3 linked regions of the Caenorhabditis elegans genome follow. The protein of the gene in region 1 interacts with the protein of each later gene in a pairwise test. Each region holds a gene or a part of one and is shown on either strand. Other genes may lie near its edges.

Region 1 (6,833 bases):
AAAATGCAAAGAATAATCAAGGTTACACTGGGAACTTGGTTCCGAGCTGCTTCAGAAGTTTTAGAGTCATCCTCATAAAATTTTGGCTGCAAAACATGTCTAGTACTAAACCACCTGACATATCTAAAAAATTCCAGTCAAAAAATCAAATTGTTAGAATAAATGCAAAAAATAATTTTGTCAGTTATCATGCTGTAATGAAATTTCAATGTCACACTTGACTAATGAAGAGTCATAAGGGAAGAAAAGGAAAAAAAGATACCATTATAATTTTTTGATAATTTGCTTCTCTATTTTATTTCAAATTTTGTTCGCAAAATGGTTCAAAAAATGTATAGGAAACACGGAGCTTCGAAAAGAGAACTAGAAAGGCTCAGGTGAATCATGGAGACGAAGAAGCCTAAAGTGCTCGACGTTTTTGATGTATGAGGTACACTTGGAATTGTTCAGAGGAGAAACAACGGATGGAACGTGGAATATAAAGAGAGAAGAAGACGTGTCAAGAAACCGATACGATGTGAATGGAAAAATAGAAGGAAACAGTTTTTGAAAGAAAGAAGAAAAGAGAAAAAATTGTAAGCGTTTTAGAAAAAGATATTCCAAAAATTTTATGGGAAAGAACGTTTTGGAATTTGACAGTAACATTTTTAGGTTAAAAATGCATGTCAGAAATCTTATGGTAACAATTAGGTTTCACTAGAATATTGGAAAATGTTCATAAAATTCTAAAAAACTGTAACAGATTGTGTGTCTATCGTGTTGCATGATCAATAACAACGGATCAATCTGATGGAATCTCGTATTTTAGTCTTGCATCCATTTGCTTTACATTGACAACTCTTATCTTAATTGTCGTTGGTTTTTCCAAAACTTTTTCAACAGTAAAATATTATCTAATATTTTTCAGCGTTAAAGATAAGGATTACTTCAACTGTGAATTTATCAGCAAATACAGGAGAATCTGATAATTTTTATTTTGAGCTTGTTACCGCTAACTTCTGAATAGTTTGTTCAGTTTTGAACAATATCAAGATAATTTTGAATTGGTTTAGATTAGGTGTTTCTGAATGCAATTAATTAAGTTAAATTGTAAATTGATTATGAACAGCAATTAGCTCAATGTGCTTCAGCAAGTAGCATGATCAGGCTTTTAGAATATATATATTTAGAAATATATAAGAATATATAATAGCATAAAATAATTAAGATTTAATCACAGAGGAGGGGAATATCAACAAAAATCCATACTATAAGAAATTATAATTCTGAATAACAACCACTCACCAAAAGGAAGCTCAAATCGAACATCAGTCAACAAGTTATGACCTGTTGGACCACGTGTTCCTACAGTTTGACCATTTCTTGTTTCAAGTTCATGATCCATTTGAAGCCATTGACCCGAACCTGCTGCATTGCTGAAAATCAATGGGGTATTTTTAGAAAACTGATACATTAATTTTAAAAGTTAGAAACCACTTCCGCTCAATTACGACAATTATAGGTGGCGAAAACTGAATAATTGCACTTTTCCATTGTAAATAAGAAACGTTCATATTTTTTCGTAAAATTGTATTAAAGTATGTTGCCATTTTAGTATTGGTTTTAGAGTGATTTTAACTGACGACTGGAAATTAAAAAAAAATTTTACCTGTATCTAATCTCCGAAAGTGGCATATAATGAACACCTATTAATTTGTCCCATAAAACGCCTTTGGCCCATAATTCGAGTACCATTCCGTCGTCAGGTCGATTTGTTTCACTGAAATAATTAATTAAATATGAGGTGATGTGGTTTAGCTGAAACCTTAATGTTTGATTAATTGGTTTTCAAATATAATTGTTGTTATTTTAATAAAATAATTGTAAGTGTAATGAAAAAAAAACAAGTAAAACGTTCCAAAACTAAAAAAAGGAGGCAAAATAACACCAATTTACGCATAATGGTATTTTTCCTTCCATAATATCAAATATTACTATTTTCAGCTGTTCTTTTTTTATAACATTTACAAAAATCGGTCTCCTTTACCGTATTTCACCTGTCAATGACAACTTACAAAATGAATTCCTGCTCCCAGCATGGTAAGTTGCCACGCACAGCCACAGTTGTTGATTTTACAGTCTGCAGCTTCACCGTCACGTACGAGTTGAATTCATCTGAGATCAGGCATTTAAATTGTTTTTCAAAAATTTAAAAACTGAAAAAAAACATGCTCTAATGATAGGGAGGGCGCGAAACGTTAATGCTTGTACAAAACCTCTTTAAAATTTATAGAAAATTTCAACTCAATCCAAGTTTTGATAATCAAAATTTTAAAAATCAAAACTTGATAAGACTTTGGTAAAACGAAGGTGAAAAGTTGTTGAGATTTCATTTCCAAAAAGAAATTTGAAAAAATCTAGAGAAGATTATAAATCTGCAAAATCTCTCCAATCCTAAATAAAATCGCAACTTCAAAATTTTTTTACTGCTGGACAACTTATTGGCTAATCCTAAAAATGGGACAGTTGAAAACAATTGGGTCCTAAAACAAGAGTTAGAATGTAACACGTTAACTATAAATATGCTCTCATGAAAATTACTGGGACGCTCAGTTAAACTTTTGTACCCAGGGGAACAATAAAAAAAGAAGCTATATTTTTTTTAGTTGAAAAGAAAAAAAAAAAGAGAACAACGTGAATTATAACTCAATTTCTGGCTCAAACTTGAGTGAAAGATCAAGAATCTTTAAAGTTCTTTCTCATGAGATTTATAGTAAATGTAAAAAGCTACTAAACATTGAACGATTTGTTAAATTTTTTGAACAAGCTGGTTGTATTCTTACTATTACTATATGCTCTTACTATATGCTTTAAAGATGGGGTACTTTTAGCGGGATTTTGTCAACTTACGTTTAGAATGTGGGGTTTTTCGAACTATATGTGTAACTTCAGACACATTCTTTACTACTAATACTTAAAAAAACGAAAACATTTGTTCTATATTCTCAAAATTAAATGAAATATCAAAAATTATTTCAAAAGCATTGGAAATATATGTTTCGCTTAATTTTTAATAATTTTTTAAAATTTTAATTCCATAATTTTTTCTTGAGCTTAACGTACATGATAAATAACAAAGTTTAAGTTTCATTTCATTTTTCTTGGTCTTTAAGCTTCCAGTCCACCGTATCTTGTTTCGTCTCCGGTGCCCTCATTCATTCGTCATTCCATTTCAAACGTTTTCCCCAGTGACTTACTCTCTTGTTTAGAGGTGCCCCCGGTGCTTCTATGTTTAATTTCCTGGCAACTTTTTTCCGGTTTCTTACTTTTTACTTACTCACTTGCTCACGAATGTAGTTAAACTTTTCCTGCCTCTTCAACGACTCTTTTCTCTTATCTTACTCTAAAAAGGTCCCAAAATTTGATTAAAATTTGCCAAAAAAAAGGGATGGGAAAATAGAAGAGGCGGGTGCATACACATACATTCAGAATACTAAGCACATCTTGTACGTGATGTTGAGGTATAAGTTGTGCATTATTTCGTGTGTCATCGAAGCATGAAAACGCGCGTTTCACGATGAGATTTATTATTCGGGAGGTCGCCCCGTGAAACTGGAATGACAGGTGTCACGAATGATGAATTTCTCAGGCGACAACTACAAATCGGAGCAACGCCACGCATGATCGTTTCTCGATTTGCAGAAAGGGATTTATTCAGATTTTTTAGTCTTTCACCCAAAGGAGGTGGACATTTCATTTAAAAAAAGTCAGATCCACATTTCAGACATCTGGCAAGTTAATAGTTTTTTGTTGAGATAAAGTGATGATTCATAAAGTGGAAGAGCCACTTGATTTTCAGTTAGCTCTGACTATGATTTTTTAAAAGTATTTGGAGCAGGAGCATCTTTTGGTTCTATGGTCATCGAGACTAATTGTAACAGTACTGGCACACTGTTACATTTTCAGATTTTTTTCAAAAAATTGGCAGAACTCTCAGAATATTTGTTACATTATCTACTTCAAGTTTCAGGGAATTTCCAGTATTTTTCAAACGAAATAAATTATTTTAAATGAAAACTGAACTATATATTTTAAGTTATAAAATCAATAGAAATACTCACCGACAGCTCCTTGAAGTCGTGCTTTTTTAACTGAAACAATCAATGTTAACATCTCGTCCATAACTGAGTGTCGATGGTCTCGTATATATGTATTCTCGAGACGGCAAGAAGAACACAAATAACAACTCACTGGTAATGCAGAGCAACCTCATGCTCATGCCATCTGAAAGTTGATCATCATTGTAATCTCCAACGTCATCCATCCCTTCTGATTGTTGAAACGTGGCATATTCTTGGGCGATGGTTGAAGAGGAAGCGGCCTCCCCAGATGGGTACGCGCCGCCGACCAGTTGTTCCAATGCCGAGAACAACTTGGTCTCCTGGAGAGTTTTTGGATCAGGATTTTCAGAATTTTAAGGTTTTAGCGAATCAATTAGAGATCAGGTTTAGGTTCAAGTTCCTGGTGCAGAGTTAAAGCTTGAGATCAAGTTTAACCTATAGACAAAAGTTAAACTGAAGGTCAGTGATGAGTGGTACAAATAATTGGATTAAGCAGAAGTAAGTAAGTTCAAAAGAACTAACAGCCTAATCAGACAGATCCAGAGATCTTTGAAATTTGTGTTTTGTAGTTTTTGTTCAAAGAAAGTTATAGATAGAACGTGTTCAAAGCCCCTTAATTTTATATAAAAATTAAATTAAAAACAAAACTCTCAATTCCTACATAACAATGAATAAAAAATTATATGCATGACATGATGAAAAGTCATAAAATACAGAAAAAATGAGCTCCTTTTTTTGCTAAGAAAATGCGTATAGCCTCGAGGTGCCTTCTGCATTATAATGAAAAATGCATCACTTTTTTCTATACTTTTTTTACTATGAAATACGAAAAACTGGGTTAAAAAGTAAATACAAGTTTAGAAAAACTATATTGTTTTACTTCTTTCTCTTGTCAAAGTTGTTTTTATTCTTTAAATGAGAAAATTTCAAGAATGTGTTAGTAACTCAGTGATTTTAACATTCAAAAGTGGAACATAGTGAAAATTTTTTCAAAAAAAAAAAAAAAAAAACGAAATTAAAAAAACGAAATTTTTGTTACCAGTCAAAAAAATTAAAGAGTTTGCAAAATTAAATTTTGGCAGTATAACATCATTTTGACTGAACATTTGAAAAATCTGAAACAATTTTTTAGGGTCTCATTTAAGCACTTTTATTTTTGATTTTGACAAAATCCTGACTGGTGCTACATTATTTTTACAATAAAAAAACAAAACTTCAACATGAACTTCTTATGGACAAAAAAGCTGTAAACTCTTTAATATAATTTTTGTCTAAAATTCCAAACCTAAACGAAAAAATCTTGATCAAACCACAAAAAAAGTTGATTAAGAAAGTCCAAAAAAAGAAACGAACGCAAAATGCGCGAAAAAGTAGCATTTTTTGGAGTATATACTAAAGAAACCAGTGAGATAGTGATTCAAACTAATAGACGCAGAGAACCGGAATAAGTATAACGGAGAGTGTGGAGACGGCGACTGGATGAGCTTGTGCTTTCTTCTTCTTCTGCTCCCGCTCTCTACCCCCTATTCGCCACTCCCCCCTTCGCAAAAATTGAGGACGGAGTAGCAGAAGACGTCGCGGAGCCAAGCTAGAGGAGCACGGAGCACTGAATTCTCGGAGAACCCAGAGATAGTTGCACCCACTACCACCACTCTTCCCTTCACCACAATTTCTCTTTTGGTGTCCCTCTCTCTCTCTTACTTTTTCACCAATTGGGTTTCAGAAATGGACAATAGGAGGACGTTTATATGTGTTTGTGTATGTGGACGGTTCTCACGCTCTAGTGCTCTCCATTCCAATTTCTAGACCTAGATGCCACTCAATGCTTCAAAACAGACTTGCTATGGGAATTCATATCAAATTCTGTGTTCCGATGAGGTTTTAAAATCATACGAAGAACCCATTTTCAAGGGTTGTGTTCCAGAAAAAGATATTTTTAATTATCAAGATGTTTTCTAGGAAATTAGATAGTTTCCAGCATGTTTTAAATATCGAAAATTAGTTCTGAAATTTTTATATTTGAAGAAGAAAATCTGTAAAAGGATCAGTCACAAAAATTATCAAAAAGTTTTTAAATGGATGGTCGTAATGCATCAAACGGTTAAGATGAAGATTCTCTCAGAAATTTTGTGTCTGAATATTTCATATTCTAAATTCTAAAAAAACCCAGCACACTTATCGACATTTTCGAGCATTTTGCATCGAATTTTCTCAAACTGAAACAATTTTCTCGTATTTCTCGAAAGTTACAATAACGCTTTGACATGTTGACGTAAATGTTTACATATTAACAAATATCAAATTGTACCATTTCTCTAACTAAAAAACAAATCATTATAACATAGCAGATGAGAAGGGTTTGATATTTTGAAAGGAAATTTGAAGCCATAATGAAATCAAAATTTCAAAACGGGAGTTTAAAATTTCTAATCACTTGATGAAAACTTACAATCTGAAATCATTTGCATCTCAGAAACCTTTTGAAAATGCGATTTAATTTTTCAAAAAATATTTTGAATAACTTTGGACGGACAATGATGATCGATAAAATGCGACTGCACATAAAATACACAAATCAAACAGCTGAAAAATAATTGAAAATTGTTTTTCACTTGTTCACTATTTATGGATAAATTTTTTGATCGGAAAATTGAAAATAAAAGTTTTGTACAACAAAATTGTTTTATGAGTTGGATATAGCTATAATATATCTTTAATATAATCTTTTAAAAG
Region 2 (5,845 bases), on another chromosome or scaffold:
TTTTCACTGAGAAAGCAGATTTTTAGCTGGAAAACCTGAATTTTCCGTTAAAAAACTGATTTTTCGCATTTTTTAGCTCCAATTTCGAGCAAAAATGGGATTTTTGACAAAATTTTTCAACTAAAATAAAGATTTTTCATGTAAATTTTCGAGATTTCTCGTGAAAAATCAGTTTTTAATTGATTTTATCTAAAAAATCTGAGCTTTTCACTCAAAAAAAAAACGTTTTTCCAGCTCCAACCTGTTCTTTATTGAGAACAGGCGTCTGTTCACCACTTCCAACGACAAATGAAGCATCAAGTGGCTCTAAAATCTCTCCTTCAGCAATATCCGACTCCACATCACCCTCCGATCCATGCAAAGGCTTCGTCGAGACCGCCGCCAACGAAATCGCCGACGTTGAGTTAGTAAATTCTTGCAAAAGATGATTCCGATGCGGTTTTGCCGACTTTATAAGATCCTTCTCGAGCTCATCGGCCGACATTGCTGCTCCCGGCTCTTTGAGCATCAGCTTCTGGAGCATTGGCGGCATTTGTTCGATCGTTGCCGCAGATTTTTGCGGCGGATTTTGCGCACTTTTTATGAGCTGGAGAAGATCCACTTTTGGTGGGGCTTGAGGAGCCATTTGTGGAGCTTGAGCTGGAGCTGCTGGAGCCTGCGTTGGAGCCGGAACCGAAGCCTGTGGAGCCTCCGAGGCGGCCTTGGCGGCCCGAGCCTGCTCCGTAGTGCTTCCTTTCAGACGATTCACGAGTTTTTGCAACAAATTGTAGATTTTCTGAGCATCATCAATCTGGTGGAACCATAGTGCTTGAATTGAGGCCAAATCCTTGTAAAAGTAGATGAAATTTCCGTCGTGGCGGAGAATATGGTTGAGGGTGAGCGGCTCGATGAAATCCGATGGATCGTTGCGATTTGCGATGAGGAAACTGAAATAAATAAGTTTAAAATTGATTATTTTAGCTATTTTTGCATGTTTTCTTGCTTCTTCTCACCTAAAATATGGCCGATCAGCTCTCTGATAGACGAAAAATGTTCCTTCGCAATTCGACTGATTCCACTCTTTTCTCGCCGCATCGATATGATAAATCGCGGCAAATGGCATCTACAAAACCAATTTTTAGCTTTAAAATCCACAATTCTCTATGTTAAACCTTGTCGAGAATCTTGCTGGCGGCGATGTCGATTTTCTGGAGTTGTGCGAGGTTTTTCGCGGCTAGCTCGGCGGCGGCCTTTTTTTTAGCGTCGCTCATACTGGTTCCTGGATGAAAATGTTGAGTTTTCGATGAAAAATGATGAGAAAAGTGCAAAAAATCTGCGGAAATCGGTGAAAATCGCGAAAAAAACAAAGAAAGACAGAATTTAAATTGAAATTCTATGGTGTAGATTTACGGTAAACAGGGCGCGCTGCGGGATTTTGGAGTATCGTTGTAATTGTAAACTGAATTTTTAAAGCAAAAAATTTGTTTCTTAAACGAAAAAATCAGATAAAAATGCAAAATAATTCATTTAAACCGAGAAAATCAAATAAAAACATCAATAAATCAAATCTAAACAATCAAAGCGTCAATCTTCTTAGCCCACAACTCCACATTGTTCGGAAGGTGCTCCCCAAGGTTCAGAAGGCTTCTGAACACAATATCAGCGACACACACCTCCCATTGAGAGCTTAACGAGTCGAAACGAGCCAGGAACTGAGAAGCTTCACGTGTGACAAAGCTCTGATCACAGGAGCCGGCAAGGATTTGCTCGGCCTGAAAGAAAATTTGATTTTTTTGGGAAAGTTTCTAAAATTTCCTACTTTTCCCAGCCAAATCGCTTGATGACTGGCGCTGAGCACTTGTTGTGGCCGTCTAGAGAAGAGCCCGAGTGAAGAGCCCAACAGCTTCCAGATAGTTTGAAGGGATTTGACGGTAGTTTTTTCCAATTGCAGGGAGGGAGCAGGGCCTGAAAATATTGAAAATTAAGGGTATATCATAAAATTCTGATTTTTAGAGAAAAAATCCCGCACCTTTCACAACTTTCAGACTGGATTTCTTCTCTTTCGTCTGATTTTTGACTTCTCCCTCAAACGAGACTCCACGGCTTGCGCCGACCTTTGCGAGAGCCCGAGCCCACGGCAAATCCACGTCCCGCACTGTCAGCGTGGCGTTTTTCAGCTGCTCCTGCGGCTCGTAGGCCACAAGGGAGGTTGGGAGATTCACGGTGAGAGTCAGATTGGTCTCCCACGTCTTTCGGTCGTCCTGGACGGTCCATGGAGTCGAATTTACGGTCTTTTTCGCGGATTTCTGTGGTGGAGCCTCTCCGGAAGCCAATTTCTTTACGGCTTCTGCCTTGGCAGCCTTGCGAGCCTCCTTCTTGGCGTCCTTGTCTAGTTTTGCGGGGGCTCCGGGGACTCCGGGAGCTGAAGAGGCTGCTCCAGCGGATTTCTCAGGCTCTTTTGGCGCTTTTTCCGCAGGTTTTTGAGCAGATCTCTCTGCTTTTCCAGCCTCTCCAAGGCTTACCAGCAACTTCTTGAGCTCTTCGGTCTGTGCTTTGAGCTGCTCGATCAGTGAGAGCTGTTTGTGCTCCAAAGCCTTGCGCGGATCGGATTCTACCTGAAATTTCAGTTTTTTTTGAGCCAAAATCCGTCTATTACCTGCACCGCATCAGAAGGCCCGACTCCTCCGAAAGATGGATTATGATACGAACCTACTGGATAGCAGGCGATTTTCGGATGAACCTCAAAATTCGGTGGGAACGTCGGTGTCAGCTTGTACATTGGCATCGCGTGATTTACCCTGGAAAATCCTATTTTATACGAAATCTTGAGATTTTTGAGATTTTCAGAGCAATCGAGAGATTGTAAGATGGAATTTCGAGAATCTAAAATTTTTCAGAAGCGTTAAAGGCACCAAAAAACATGAAATATGCTTGAAAAACTGGGAAAACCATCAAATTTCTGGAAAAAAAATTTAGAGTTTAAAACAACGATGCTCCGAATTAACAAGTGCGTGTTATTTATTTTTAGTGAATTTTTGGTATAAAATCAGCATTTTTACATGATTTATGTAATTTTTGCGGGAAATAGACGAAAAATTACCGGTTTTTACTGAATTTTGATATAAAATAGCTTGAAAACAGCTAAAAAACCCAAAAATCAGAAATAAAAGCAAATGTGGATTTACGATAAAGAAGGCGCACAACGTGATATCGGAGTGTCGTTGGGAGGAAAATTATTTATTTTAATTATATATTTTTTTTCTCATTTTCAAGCGATTTTTTAGCTTTTTCCAGTGGTTTTTTAATTCTATCTTTTGCATAAATTTATCGTAATCTCATATTCAGCGTTTTCCCACGAAATTCCTTCCTTTTTCAGCTCAAAACCAGAAATGCCGTTCATGCACGGGTCCATGCCGCTTCGGCGGACATTCTTCTATCTCCAGCAGGGAAAAGTGAAGCTTCGCGACAACGTCAACGTGTTCTCGATGGGTTTTCATAAAAATCCGACGCCCGAGCAGTCTGGAGCACGAGATTTCGTCTACTGGAACTGGGCGCAGCTTCAATATCACAATCCAAAAGTTCAGCTCGTTAAGCATGCCGATAAAGTTGTGACGCCCTTTGCCAGAGCATATCTGAGTAAGTTTCAAGCTGAAAATCCACAAAATTCTACTAAAAAATGTTTCAGACGACGGCCGGGAAGTGCTATTCGACTTGGACGGCATGAAGCGCGAGGAAATCGAGAAATTATTGGCGAAAACGCTAGGAAAAACGGAATTAGTGGAGCGAAGAGAGCATTTGGAGAGTATTGCCAAGCTTAATCCCGCCGATTTCGGATCCAAAAATGAGCGACAGGTCTGAAAATTGCGCGAAAAATCGGCAAAAAATCGTTCATTTTTTCAGTGTATGTGCGAAGTTCAAGGCCAACATCCGTGCACGGGACTCCTGCGAGCACCGCAATGTGTCACCGGAAAATATCGATGGAATCATAATCTCATCTAATTTATATCGATTGATTTTTGTGTAAATTTCCTATTTCCCCCTATTTCTAGCTAGTTTTTGTGTCGATCTTCCTTGTTTTTTGTTGAAAAAACGATTTTTTTTTTCAGTTTTACAATCTTTTTGCCGCAATATTCACGACGAGAAGGTTCGAAGAAGTATAATCATGCCTGGGTTTCAAAAATTCTATATTTTGGGCCTAAATCGTCATGATTTGGCCTGAAATCGGCTCTAAAGTCTACAGTAACCCGATAAATTTCGCTGTGAGACCCAAGAAAGACATATTTTTGAAATCAGCGTGTCAAGCCAGTTTGAATGAGTTTACTCAAGCATAGGTTTTAAAATTTTTAAAATTTGAACGAAAATTGAACGACTTTGGCCTAAATTTAGCCTTTAAATCTACAGTAACCCAGCCAATTTCGCTGCGAGACCCATGAAACTTATATTTTTGAAATCAGCGTGGCAAGCCGGTTTGAATAAGTATAATCATGACTATTTTCGAAGAAACTTCTTTTCTTTCGAAAATTTCGTGACGAGACCCAAAATTTTTTTTTGAAAAATTAATATAACCGATAATATATGATTTATATGTGTATTAAATTACAATTATTTTGACCAGAAATCAATGTGTATACGGGGAACAACAACTTTTTTGACGAGAATTTTTTCAGGGATGGGGCAAGTTTGAAGGGACATAGGGCGGGAGTTACTGTAGGGCAAGGAAAATTTTTTAAATCGGGAGGAAAGGTGGGATAAATAGAGATCAAATTGGCAGATGTTTCGAAAAAAAAAGAAGAAAAAATCAATAAATTCGACCGGATTTCGACAAAAAACGGGGTGAAAGACATTTTGTGGGCGTGGCCAGTGTGAGAGTGGGCGGGGCCAAATTTACCGGACACGATTAAGCTGCTTGAGGACCACGAATAAGGGGGAGAGAAATTGTTTAAAATATGACAAAAAAGAAAAATAATAATAAAAAGGAAAATTTTTGAGTGAAAATTTGAATTTTTTCCGTTAAAACTGTTGATTTTACGTCGAAAAACTTAAAAAAGCAAGCAACAATTCAAATTTGCCGCCAACACTAAACAACACGCACCTACGGAATAACGGAGTGCCGTTTGAAAATTGAAATTTCGCAATTTCGATCGATTTTTAGCAGAAAAACTCCGAAAATCGAGCAAAAATTGCAGTTTTGACTCAAAATTTCGAATTTCCCGCTAACGCTAAACAACACGCGCAGGTGGGATCGCGGAGTGTCGTTTAAAATCGCTAATTTTCACTCAAAAACCTTCAAATTTCTTGTAAAAAGAGCAAAAAAAAATATAAAAAATGTTCAAACAAGTGGTTGTACGGCACTGGGCGCCGCCATCAAAAACGGTTGCTGATTAGCCGAAGTGGGCGTGGTGGCCTGTAGCTGAGGTCCGAGAGTTGCTGAAAGGCCACTGAGACCGGCCAATGAGGATAACAAGTTCTGATTGAGGAGGTAGTTAAAGTCGGGAGTATGTTGAAGTTGAAGTAATAGTTGAGTTGAGAGAATACTTGTGGACAGGGATCCCAGTCCGGAAATTGACGAAGACTCTGGAACTTTTCGGAATGCCGACAGACACATTTCTGAGGGATGGAAGGGTACGGCGTGTGGCTTGGAGGCCGTAAGTGGGCCGAAATCCGCTGAGTTCGGGAGCTGAAAAATCACACTTTTGGAATTAGAGGTCGAAGTTTTAAGCATAAGACTACAGTAACCCTGTCAATTTCGCTGCGAGACCCATAATTTTATAGGTTCTCGTGATCAGCACGTCAAGCTGGTTTGAATAAGTATAATCATGACTAGGTTCGGAAACATTTTGAAATATAACCCAATTTAGCAGTATTT
Region 3 (9,947 bases), on another chromosome or scaffold:
AATTGCTCTTGCTCATTTCATTTAACAACTTGATTCCGTTTCCTGGTGTGCTGTCTTCATCTGTTTGTTTTTCTTTTTTTTTGACGATCTCAAAATGGTTTATTTGATTTTCCCATAAATACATCAAGTTCTTCATCTACATCAGCTGTAATATTTATAAAATCTGCGTCTTGGAGAATTTCTTCGAGAGACATCATTTGAAATGGTATAGCACAGGAAGTAGTAGACGGAGATACTTCTGAAGCAACAGCGACACAATGATTCTCTCCAATAAATGACTCTTCAAAAATCCATTGTGGTTGTGGAATCAAACGATGATAATATTGGGTTGAAACTGTTGAGTGACCTGAAAAGGATACATAAAACGATAGATTCTTTCGAAAAGTTAACCTGACGCGTGATCATAACTGGAATCTACTTGGAAAGTATGATTGTGCAGTCCATCTGGAAGTCCAACTCCCGTAGCTTTTAGAATTGATTCTTTCAGACACCAAATTCTGTAGAATGCGTGCCATCTAGAAATTAGGATGATTTATTAAATTTTACTGATGATTTCAATATTGTCAGTTTTCAATTTTCTGAAATTCGTATTTAAAGGCGCACGAATTTATCCGGATGGGTCTCGCCACTGATATGTTCGGTGCCCGCTTTGACGTTATTCAGGATATTGTTATAACGTCATTATGAATTTTGTTGAGTTTTTTGTCGTGAAAATCGGAAAAGCTCTGCCATAAACTGAGATCCATCTGATTGAATCCGTGAACTTTTATATACACAATACAGAAAATTAAGAATTGTAGTTTGAAACGATACCTTTTAAGTTCACATTTATCTCCCCCTTTAACCATTTCTATTTCATTTTCACTGAAATGTCGCTTCAACGTATTCATTTGTTCACTAGCAGTCTCACGCCGAGCTTCATTAACTCTCATCACATCGACACCTTAAATAATTTTGCCTTTATAAGATCAAAATTCAAAACATTAGTACAAACCTATTCTAGTATCTCCGGTAGCTAATACAACTAGATCACCATGATGCGATACGTTGTATTCGAAGTTTTGACGAGAATAGTCTGATTTATTTTGAATAAGAGATGGTTTTCCATTTTCATTCCGACTAAACTCTAGATCTGACCACTGACGAGATATTGATATAGTGGCAGCTTTTCTGAATGTCTTCCAATTATTCAAACTCGAATAACATTTTGTTAGAACCTTGGAATTAATCTTCCTATCAGACATGCCAATGCATCTTCTTTATATCGAAACCGTCTCTGCTGCTCCACATCACTTTCCGATGCACACAAAATAGCCCGTCTAAACATATTTTGGAATGTAGATGAAGTTATCGTTTCTTCCAGCGATATTGCCCATCTTAAGCTCATTGCGCTGGAATTTATGATGAAAATTGAGACGGATGAGCTAAATTAGAAATCATCAAGAGGTAGATGCCACATTTCATAAAAATATCAGTTTGAAGTATAGCACAGAAAACTATATTTAATTTAATATTATAATAGCGATTATTAAGTCAGCTGCTCACTGGAATGAATTCCAGAGAGGGAGAGAGAAATAGACAGTAAAACGAGTCTTTGAAGTAAAGAACAACTCAATACAGAGGCGGGGATGAGTGGTAAAAAGATTGCATAATGTATTTCCAATATTGAAAGTAGTTATGTAATTCCGAGACGACGGGCTTGTCCCTCATAAATTAAAAGTCGCCACATTTTGATCACAAATTGCTCAGCATCCTCGTCAATGATCTGAATTCCATATATTAGATTTTTACTTAATAATTGATCATCTCACGACGGCGACGTCTTTGAGTATTTCTTGGGGTGTCGCTTGTTTCTCAATTTGATCACAGATGAAATCACAGAACGATTTGTCTTCTTCGCCAAGGAATTGAGTGACTTTTTTAGCCACCCACGGACGAATTCGATCATTCATCCATTTCCCATCTAGCTGATCCCATTCGATTCTATGAACAAAAAGTTCATCTGAAAAAAATCAAGTTTTAAATGTTTTTTTTTTCAATAAACATATCTTTGATTTTACCATAAAAACTCAAAGTTTATGAACGTTTTCTTCGAAATAACTTGCCTTTTGTAGCAGGAATAGTTTTGATTATCTGCTTCGTCAGCTCTCTTTTTTCTTCAGCTGACATGACTTGCATACGCTCTTCTCTAGTGATCTCGAATGGTTTCAACTTCTTTTTGCTATGCACATCGTCTTCATCGTCATCATTTCCAAACACACCACTGAGGCGTTGAGCAATTGGAATAGGAGATGCTTCTTTTTTAATTTGCGGCTGATTTTGATTTCCGTTAGCTATAGGGCGGTTTATTTTTGTATTGAGAGAAGAGTCATCTCCAATCGCTTTCCATCCGAAATTTCCATTTGTACCAGACGAACCAGTGTTAGGATCTACATGCTCGGAAATATCTACATCAATTGGTTCTTCTTTAATTTCATCCTTAATTTCCTTTTTGACATCGGTCTTTTCGCTATCACTCTCTTCTTCACTCGAAGACTTTTCTCCGTTTGCCGATTGACCAAGTGGTTGATGAGGATTTGGACTTCCACTATCAGCTCGCATTTTTCGCATTGCTTCTTCTTCCTGAAACTTTTGATAGGGTTTACTGAATGTATATAGTTGTGCCAATCACTACTAAGCGTAGTAAAATAAGTAAAGCGCAATTCTATTAAGCCCAGAGAAATATCACCCGTGGAAGGAAGGCATACTGTAAAAAATACTCAAAATTATGGCAGAATTAAGAAAGAAGAGAACTTCAGTTAGGAACAATTTTGAATGGTGTATAAACTTCTTTAGTTATACGGTAGGTTTTGATTAGATCGATGTTCTATGGACCTATTTAGAAACTTCAAGTCATTTTTCTTTGAAGCTTCGAAACGAAAGATTTTTGTCTTGCCGCGTACGAATTAAAAATGCAAACCTTTAGTTTGTGTCGTTTCCTTGCCTCCTCTTCAATGTTAATACTCTCATCATTTGCAGCTTCTTCCATAATTTGTCTTTTGAGTTCTTCAATCTCTTGCTGTTCTTGCATTCGATCTTTTTGATCAGCTTCCCTTTCACGTTCATAGTCTCTTTTTCTTTGGAAGAATTGAGAAGAAGTGTAGTATTTTGGATCATCTTTCTCATCATCATAGTCCTCGAGGAATAGTTTTAATCGTTTGCCTTCCTTTTGTAGTGTCTTTTTGCGATCCTTCTCTTTCCGTTCCTCTCGTTCATACCTTTTCGACATTTGTCGTTCTCTTGATTCCCATCGTTTCAGACGAGCCAGATATGCTTGCTTCTTATCAAGCATCATTTGTTTGAAAGCACGTTTCTCCCTTGCATCATCGCTGTCTTCTGAAGCATGACTATTACTTCGGCGTCGTTTAGATGTTCTGCTACGTTGAGGAGTGCGTGACCTGGATCGAGAAGAATATGATGAACTACGAGATGAAGATGAGTCCGATTCTGAGGATGAATTTGAGCTGGAGCGGCTTCGACGTGATCGCCTGAAAATTATTGAGTAGAAATTGAAACATTTTTTTAAAGAATATTTTTTTATTATTTTTATGTTGACGAAAAAAAGCATATAAATTTATTTTACAAAGAAAAAAATTACTAAAATTTTATAAGCTAACTATCGAAAAATCGAAATTTTTGAAGTATCGGAATACCGAAAAATTCGGAATATTTTCGTTTTTTAATTTGTGTGAAAAATTGAAGAACCAACACCCTTTGACTATTCCAGCGGTACTCCAGTGGTTGAAAATAAAAATTAAATTAAATTAAAACACTTACTTGCTTCTGGGCGATTCTTTGCTTCTCGATCGTCGTGAAGTTCTTTCTCGGCTCCTTGTGCGACTGCGGCTGCGTCGATTGCGATTTCGTTTGTGTTCATCCTGAAATACAATTATTGAAAATTAATTTAAAATCTATATTTGAGATCACTTGGTCTACATGTATTTTATTTTGCAATTTTCTTATCGAGTTTTTCAAAAAAAACTTTGATAGGCGAGAGGACAAGAGAGCAAGAGAGTGAGAGAAAAAGAATATGAATATATATTTCTCGTGAATTTGATGTAACACATAGACATACACATAGTAGTACTCACTTTTAATATTAGGCCACTTCAATTTTTCGAAACCATCACCATGAGTTATTAAAAACCCAACTTTTTTTCAAACAGGGTTACCAACATTTTCCAAATAAAAAGGTGACTGAGAAAGCATGCAAGTCTTTAAATTAAACGGAACAAAAACAGGGAGCTGGAGGGGATGATGACTTACGACTCAAATTTGGGCAAAAACTAATGGAAATCCAGTAGTTCAGTTTTTTCTGCAAATTCGATTTTGGAATACAATACAAGGAGACACGAACAAAGTGAGTATAGCCCAAGAATAAGTTGTATGCGTGAATGTATTGCAATCTGAGAGTGAAAACGCTAAAAAAGTTAGATAAAAACGATTCTCTATAATCTATAATCGAAGCAGTTGATTAGTGCGGGATTACACACACACACAACGTCAAATAATTTCTAGTTTCAGTCAAAATTTGAGAAACGCTAGAAATAAAAACAGGAAGCCGACAAGAAAGTAAAATGATTATTTTCAACATAGAGAGCAAAACTTGTCTTACCGCAGATGAAGGAGTGCTCGTCTCTGACATATTCCCTACAAAAGTGGAAGTAATTTTAGGATGATACTAATAAAACGAATACTGGGGACAAAAGAATGGGAATAGAAGAAGGGTGCAATTCCCCAATGAGAGGCACGACAGAGCAATTTATATGGCTTCTCGAACAAAAATGGTGGGGGAGACGGGGGGTTACATACACACATCGAAAGCATACGTATATTCACTCAACAACATACCACCAAAAATCATTGATGAGTGGAGGAGCTGTAGAAAATCTGGAACATTTTGGTACCTGCTGGAGAAAATATGTAGTTTTACTTGATATTTTGCACACCAACAATGATTAGTAAAGGACCGAGATACACAACTGAGGAATGCGATAATATATTTGAGGAACGTAAAAAATATAGACTGTGAGACAGAAAAGACATGAGTGTGAAATAGAAGAGGTTGGCAGAGAGAAAGAAGGGAAAAGCATGCAAAAGCTTAATCTGAAACATGTTAATTGGCACACTCACACATGCATTTCAAAGGTGAAATGTGAGATTTAGAAACATAAATTTTTACTCGATATTCAATTTCGTAGTTTTGTGAATATTGTGCGTTGGTTAGAACATAGGACTCTTGCATTTACTCATTTTTCATATTTAACGTGATCATTAATTTTTATATTGATGTGGTTCGTGTATTTGCTCATTTTACATATAATTGACTTTTTAGGTTTTAATATATATATTAAAAAATATAAGAAAATGGGGTCAAAACTTACGTATCGTGTTCCGATTCTTGGCTGGTTATACATGTTCCTATATAGAATAGTCAAAATGATCATAAAATTAAAATTTTATGTTAAAAGTGGTTGTAACTATTAGTCACCTCTCATATCAGCGGAGAGCCATGGAAAGGCTCATGTCGTTGGATACACGTCAGAAGCTATTACTCACCTTTTTTGGATTTGAAGACGAACTTGGCACGGTTTGCTTTTCGATTTTACTATCATGTCCCTTGACTTTCTTGGTCTCGTCAGAGAGTTCTCCATCTGGAAACAGAAAAACTGTTACGAATTGTTTTAAAAGTTTTTAAAAGCAGTTATATTTGGTCATTACGGTTCATTTTTCTCTACTCCACCTTTAAAAAGTAAAGTTATACCTTCAGTGATTGAAAATAGTTCCTTGTGATCAGTTTCCATCCAATGAAGTATTTTCAATCGAATTTCTTCGTCTTTTTTCAAATCATCTTCGTCTGCAGGTAGCTCGTCATGCTTTAACTTCAGTTCTTTTTTGCCTGAAATTTAGAAACTATAGGTAAATCCAGATATATTGGTTTTCTACTGGGCATATTAGATCGAGCTCACAATTATTTGCTATTTTCTCCAACTATGAGAAGTGAGACAAAAGAAAAAAACATACAAACAATTTTTGAAAATCATAACAGTGAAAAATGCTAGCTTTGGTTATTACAAGCATGTGATACGGTAAACATAAAACGTGGAAACATGCAAAAGACAAGGTGTTACCTAACCAATGATGCAAATAATGCTTCAAACAAGAGATTTATCGATTAGAATGAAACATTTCAACTGTCAAAAACCCATTTCTTACCTTGTCTCTTCCTATTTTCAATAGCATTTTTGCGTAGATCATCACGCACTTTTTCGTCAGGCTGTAATCATAGAGCTTTTGGCGTTGGGATTAGAAAACAACATTATTCAACAAACCTTTACAGTTAGTTTTTTGTCCCCCAAATGAAATTCGTGAAGAATGCGCAGCGCTCGTAGAGTTCCTTCGAGATCTGTGAAATGGCAGAATCCGAAACCTTGCAATTTGCCGTTACTTCCTTTAATGCGTTTCCAACTCGCAACATTACCGCATTCCTGTAAAAATTTATTAATTTTTATTCCATAAACTAATGTAATAATTACGTTTAATATTTTCCGGATGAACTCATCGCTGCATTTATCGGATATGTTTCCAACAAAAACTGGCGACGAATCTGGTTTTTGTTGGCTTGATTGCTGCGCGGGCGTCTGAAAATAAAACAAAAAATTATTTTTTACATGAAAAAACTAGCTTACGTGCTGGCCCGGCATTCTCATCTGTCCGAAAACAATTTGCTGTTGTTGTTGTGGATAGTCTGAAAAATAAACTCTTCTACAAAAACTTTCTTAAGATTAACTGAGAAAGTGCCTCGAGGCAATAAACTCACGAGGGTACGAAGACACTCCATAGCCTTGTCTGAAAGCCATGGTCGTGAGAAAAACGAAGTCCTAAATTCGATTTTTTCCTGAAACAAAAAAGTTGTGGAGCATGGCAATGTATTAAGAGTTAGACCAGAAAAGATAATGAGTAAAAAAGAAAAAAGAGAAAATAAATTATCACCTAACTATCAAGAGAACAATTTCAGCGACAGTAGATTGTGTTGTGGAACGAAATTTATATAATAACATGCAAATAATTAATAAAACAAAGGTTTTACAAAGGTTTTAGGTAAAGGTTTTATTTTAATATAAAATGTAAAAAATTAATGCGATGATTCTGTTCTAAACAATTGCATACGTTGAAACGCGCAGACGAAATTTATCGATTTTCCTTTGCGCATTTCTCGTGACCACTTCTGCGTCAGCAACTACTCTTGACACCGATTGTCCTTCGACTGTTTTTCATTCAAATAAAAAATGATTAACGCTGTGCTTTCATGTTCTTATTTTTCTCTATAAAACGTCCTAATTATATTTCATTTTTTGAAATATTTAGTTATGTATTGTTGATATTTATAATTTCAGAATGACTGATGATATCGATGATCATCATCTTGAAGATGACATGCATGTGGAAGCTTACATGGAATTAAAAGTATGTCTGTTTTCAGCAATGTGTTTAGCAAATTAATATGAACTATTTTAGCCTCAACAACCACGTTATATATGCCCCTATGGATGCAACAAATTGATTGCCTCTCGAACGATCGATTATCACAAGAATAATGGATGTGGACGTAATCAAAGCGATAATATGGTTTCGCATCCTCAACTCAAAAAGAGATTTTATTGTTGCGGATTGTGTAGTTCCGAATTTATCACGAGACCTGAGTTCCACAGTCATTTGCGTATTGAGCACGACGTTCTTCCGGATGTTCATTCAATGGAATTCCCGGACCGTGCTACATTTGAAGTAGGAGATCTAAAATTTGACATTTGATAATTATTAATTTTTCAGCGGTTCAGATTCTGGTTAGAGTCGGAAGGTGGTGCTCATTTTCGACACAAATCGGGATCAAAACGACGTGGGCGTGGAAAAGGAATTTTTTTGGCATGCAATCGAAGTGGCAATGTGAGTAGTGATAAGAATACAGCCAATGATCGTACAGGACCATTTCGATTAGGATTCACGTGTACTGCTTTTATTCATGCAACAGAACATAATGATGGGTATGCTTTGAGAGGCCCCACGAAAAGGGGAGCAGAACGAAAAGGGGATCTGCAAAAAGGGGATCTGCGGAAAGGGGAGCTGGCACTGTGCCAAACGCACAAAACGCTTTTTATTCTCATTCAACGCACGCATTATTTTTGTATTTTACGCTAAACAACGCGCGATGCGTCACAACGGAGTGTGGTTATAACAAAGTCGTGCGTTGAATGAGAATAAAAAAGTGTTTTGTGCGTTTGGCACAGTGCCAGGTCCCCTTTTCGTTGCTCCCCTTTTCGCAGATCCCCTTTTTGCAGATCCTCTTTTCGTTCTGCTCCCCTTTTCGTGGGGCCTCTGCTTTGAAATAAAATTGAAAAATAAACAAATTTATCTTTATTTTCAGACATGTGTCTGCGGAATTTTGTGGTGATCATTACGCTCACGACGCACGGATGCGGCTCCCCAATGTCATTAAGTATATAATTGCTCAGAAGCAAATGGAACAGAGTTCTCCTATGGAAATTATTGGATTTTTACGGCATCATTTCCTCAGCATCTCTGCAGACAACATTTATGCTCAGCGAGTTTGCTTTGTAGATACCGATGAGTTGAAGACTCTATTAGTTTCGTGCACTAAAAAATGGAGCAGAGAAGGAATTCCAAAATCAATCGAAGTTTGGGAAGAGGAACTTATCGACAAAGTAGGAATCGAATGGCCACCAGTTTCAATGAGATCTCCACATCGATTCACAGAACCAAGAAAACCGACAACAACTGAAATTGCAATACAAGAACACTGGCCGAGACCAAGAGTATTTGTGGGCAAAAACCGACGTGATCATTTAATGGCTTTTCCATTAGGAGATGTTTCACAATCTAGTAGTGGTTACGAGCAACATGAAGATATGGATGATCCGAGATTTATCCAGATTGAAATGGAATATGAAGATGAACGATTTGTACAAGATGCTCAGATGGTTGAAGAAGAAGAAATTGAAGTTGTCGAAACGCAGACGTATGAACGACATCAGGAAGCAATACGAAAGGGAAATGAAATTCTGTAAGATTAAAACAATGATATATTTGTCTATTTTTTTAATTTCAGTGAACACGGAGGTGAAGAAGTTCGAGTGGGAAATGAAGTAATCGTGGCTCCTAGAAGTTCTAATGATCAAATTGCCAATGAACAAAAAACAAGTACAGATGAACGAATTTTAATCGAATCGCCTGGACATGAGGAAGTTGTGATTGTTGATGGAGATGTAGATGACGAAATCGATGACAGTCTTCAGCTTCACCATCACAGACATCTTCAAAATGACCATCATCATCTGTCAACCAGGCATCAACTTGAAGACTCTGATCAATCAGGACCTTCTAATGGTTAGTGTTCATATATTGAATTTATTTTGGTATTTAAAATACACACTTTTCAGCTGTTGATCGATTTCTTGATACGCACAAAGTTGATAATTTGAATCTATTGCTTGAAGAAGTTGAGGCGTTCAAACATACGGTTTTGGTAAGTATTATTTTTTGTTTAGCTTTGAAATTTTTTTTTTTTAAGAGTATTTAAAAAACTAGCGTAATGGGAAAAAATGATAAAGAATAAAAAACCAGTTATTAAACATGCGGTTTTTCAATTTTGGATGAATCCTCTGAAATAAAAAGTGATATTGCACAGGATTGTCAAAAAAAATTTGTTTGGAATTTGGAGAAAAACTCGAATATCTCAAAAAAAATTTCGATTCGTTTTTCTCCCAACTGAATATTATAACATTTGAAAAATAGTTTTTATCCGAAAAAACCAAAAAAAAAAATCCATTTCTGAACACTGTTTTGGATTTATTGGGTCAAAATCGCTACACTTTTATCACATATTGAAAAAA

The links. The genes of interacting proteins can lie anywhere in the genome.
Region 2: the proteins of unc-13 (region 1) and Y55F3AM.13 interact in a two-hybrid assay, tested with the Caenorhabditis elegans proteins (one study listed by BioGRID).
Region 3: the proteins of unc-13 (region 1) and rbm-25 interact in a two-hybrid assay, tested with the Caenorhabditis elegans proteins (one study listed by BioGRID).

Annotation. Positions count from the first base shown.
Region 1 is NC_003279.8:7,420,255-7,427,087, reverse strand, and holds the start of unc-13 (Phorbol ester/diacylglycerol-binding protein unc-13), read right to left. Parts: upstream 4,304-6,833; coding exon 4,231-4,303; intron 4,131-4,230; coding exon 4,101-4,130; intron 2,155-4,100; coding exon 2,055-2,154; intron 1,760-2,054; coding exon 1,649-1,759; intron 1,416-1,648; coding exon 1,285-1,415; intron 1-1,284.
Region 2 is NC_003282.8:1,053,537-1,059,381, forward strand, and holds Y55F3AM.13 (FH2 domain-containing protein), read right to left. Parts: upstream 2,778-5,845; 5' UTR 2,765-2,777; coding exon 2,636-2,764; intron 2,595-2,635; coding exon 2,009-2,594; intron 1,945-2,008; coding exon 1,799-1,944; intron 1,752-1,798; coding exon 1,548-1,751; 3' UTR 1,487-1,547; downstream 1-1,486. Other genes in the region: dcap-1 (mRNA-decapping enzyme 1), read right to left, coding at 242-926, 993-1,102, 1,152-1,250; mrps-25 (Small ribosomal subunit protein mS25), read left to right, coding at 3,369-3,615, 3,665-3,831, 3,880-3,978; znf-782 (C2H2-type domain-containing protein), read right to left, coding at 5,309-5,656.
Region 3 is NC_003283.11:12,495,245-12,505,191, reverse strand, and holds rbm-25 (RRM domain-containing protein), read right to left. Parts: upstream 6,980-9,947; 5' UTR 6,900-6,979; coding exon 6,860-6,899; intron 6,788-6,859; coding exon 6,729-6,787; intron 6,681-6,728; coding exon 6,576-6,680; intron 6,528-6,575; coding exon 6,372-6,527; intron 6,317-6,371; coding exon 6,256-6,316; intron 5,939-6,255; coding exon 5,804-5,938; intron 5,694-5,803; coding exon 5,599-5,693; intron 5,457-5,598; coding exon of another isoform or gene 5,424-5,456; intron 3,918-5,423; coding exon 3,817-3,917; intron 3,528-3,816; coding exon 2,960-3,527; intron 2,629-2,959; coding exon 2,106-2,628; intron 2,003-2,105; coding exon 1,812-2,002; intron 1,766-1,811; coding exon 1,676-1,765; 3' UTR 1,487-1,675; downstream 1-1,486. Other genes in the region: T28H10.1 (L-aminoadipate-semialdehyde dehydrogenase-phosphopantetheinyl transferase), read right to left, coding at 90-346, 391-515, 814-943, 995-1,170, 1,218-1,387; W04D2.4 (C2H2-type domain-containing protein), read left to right, coding at 7,438-7,506, 7,558-7,824, 7,870-8,081, 8,462-9,118, 9,164-9,441, 9,495-9,580.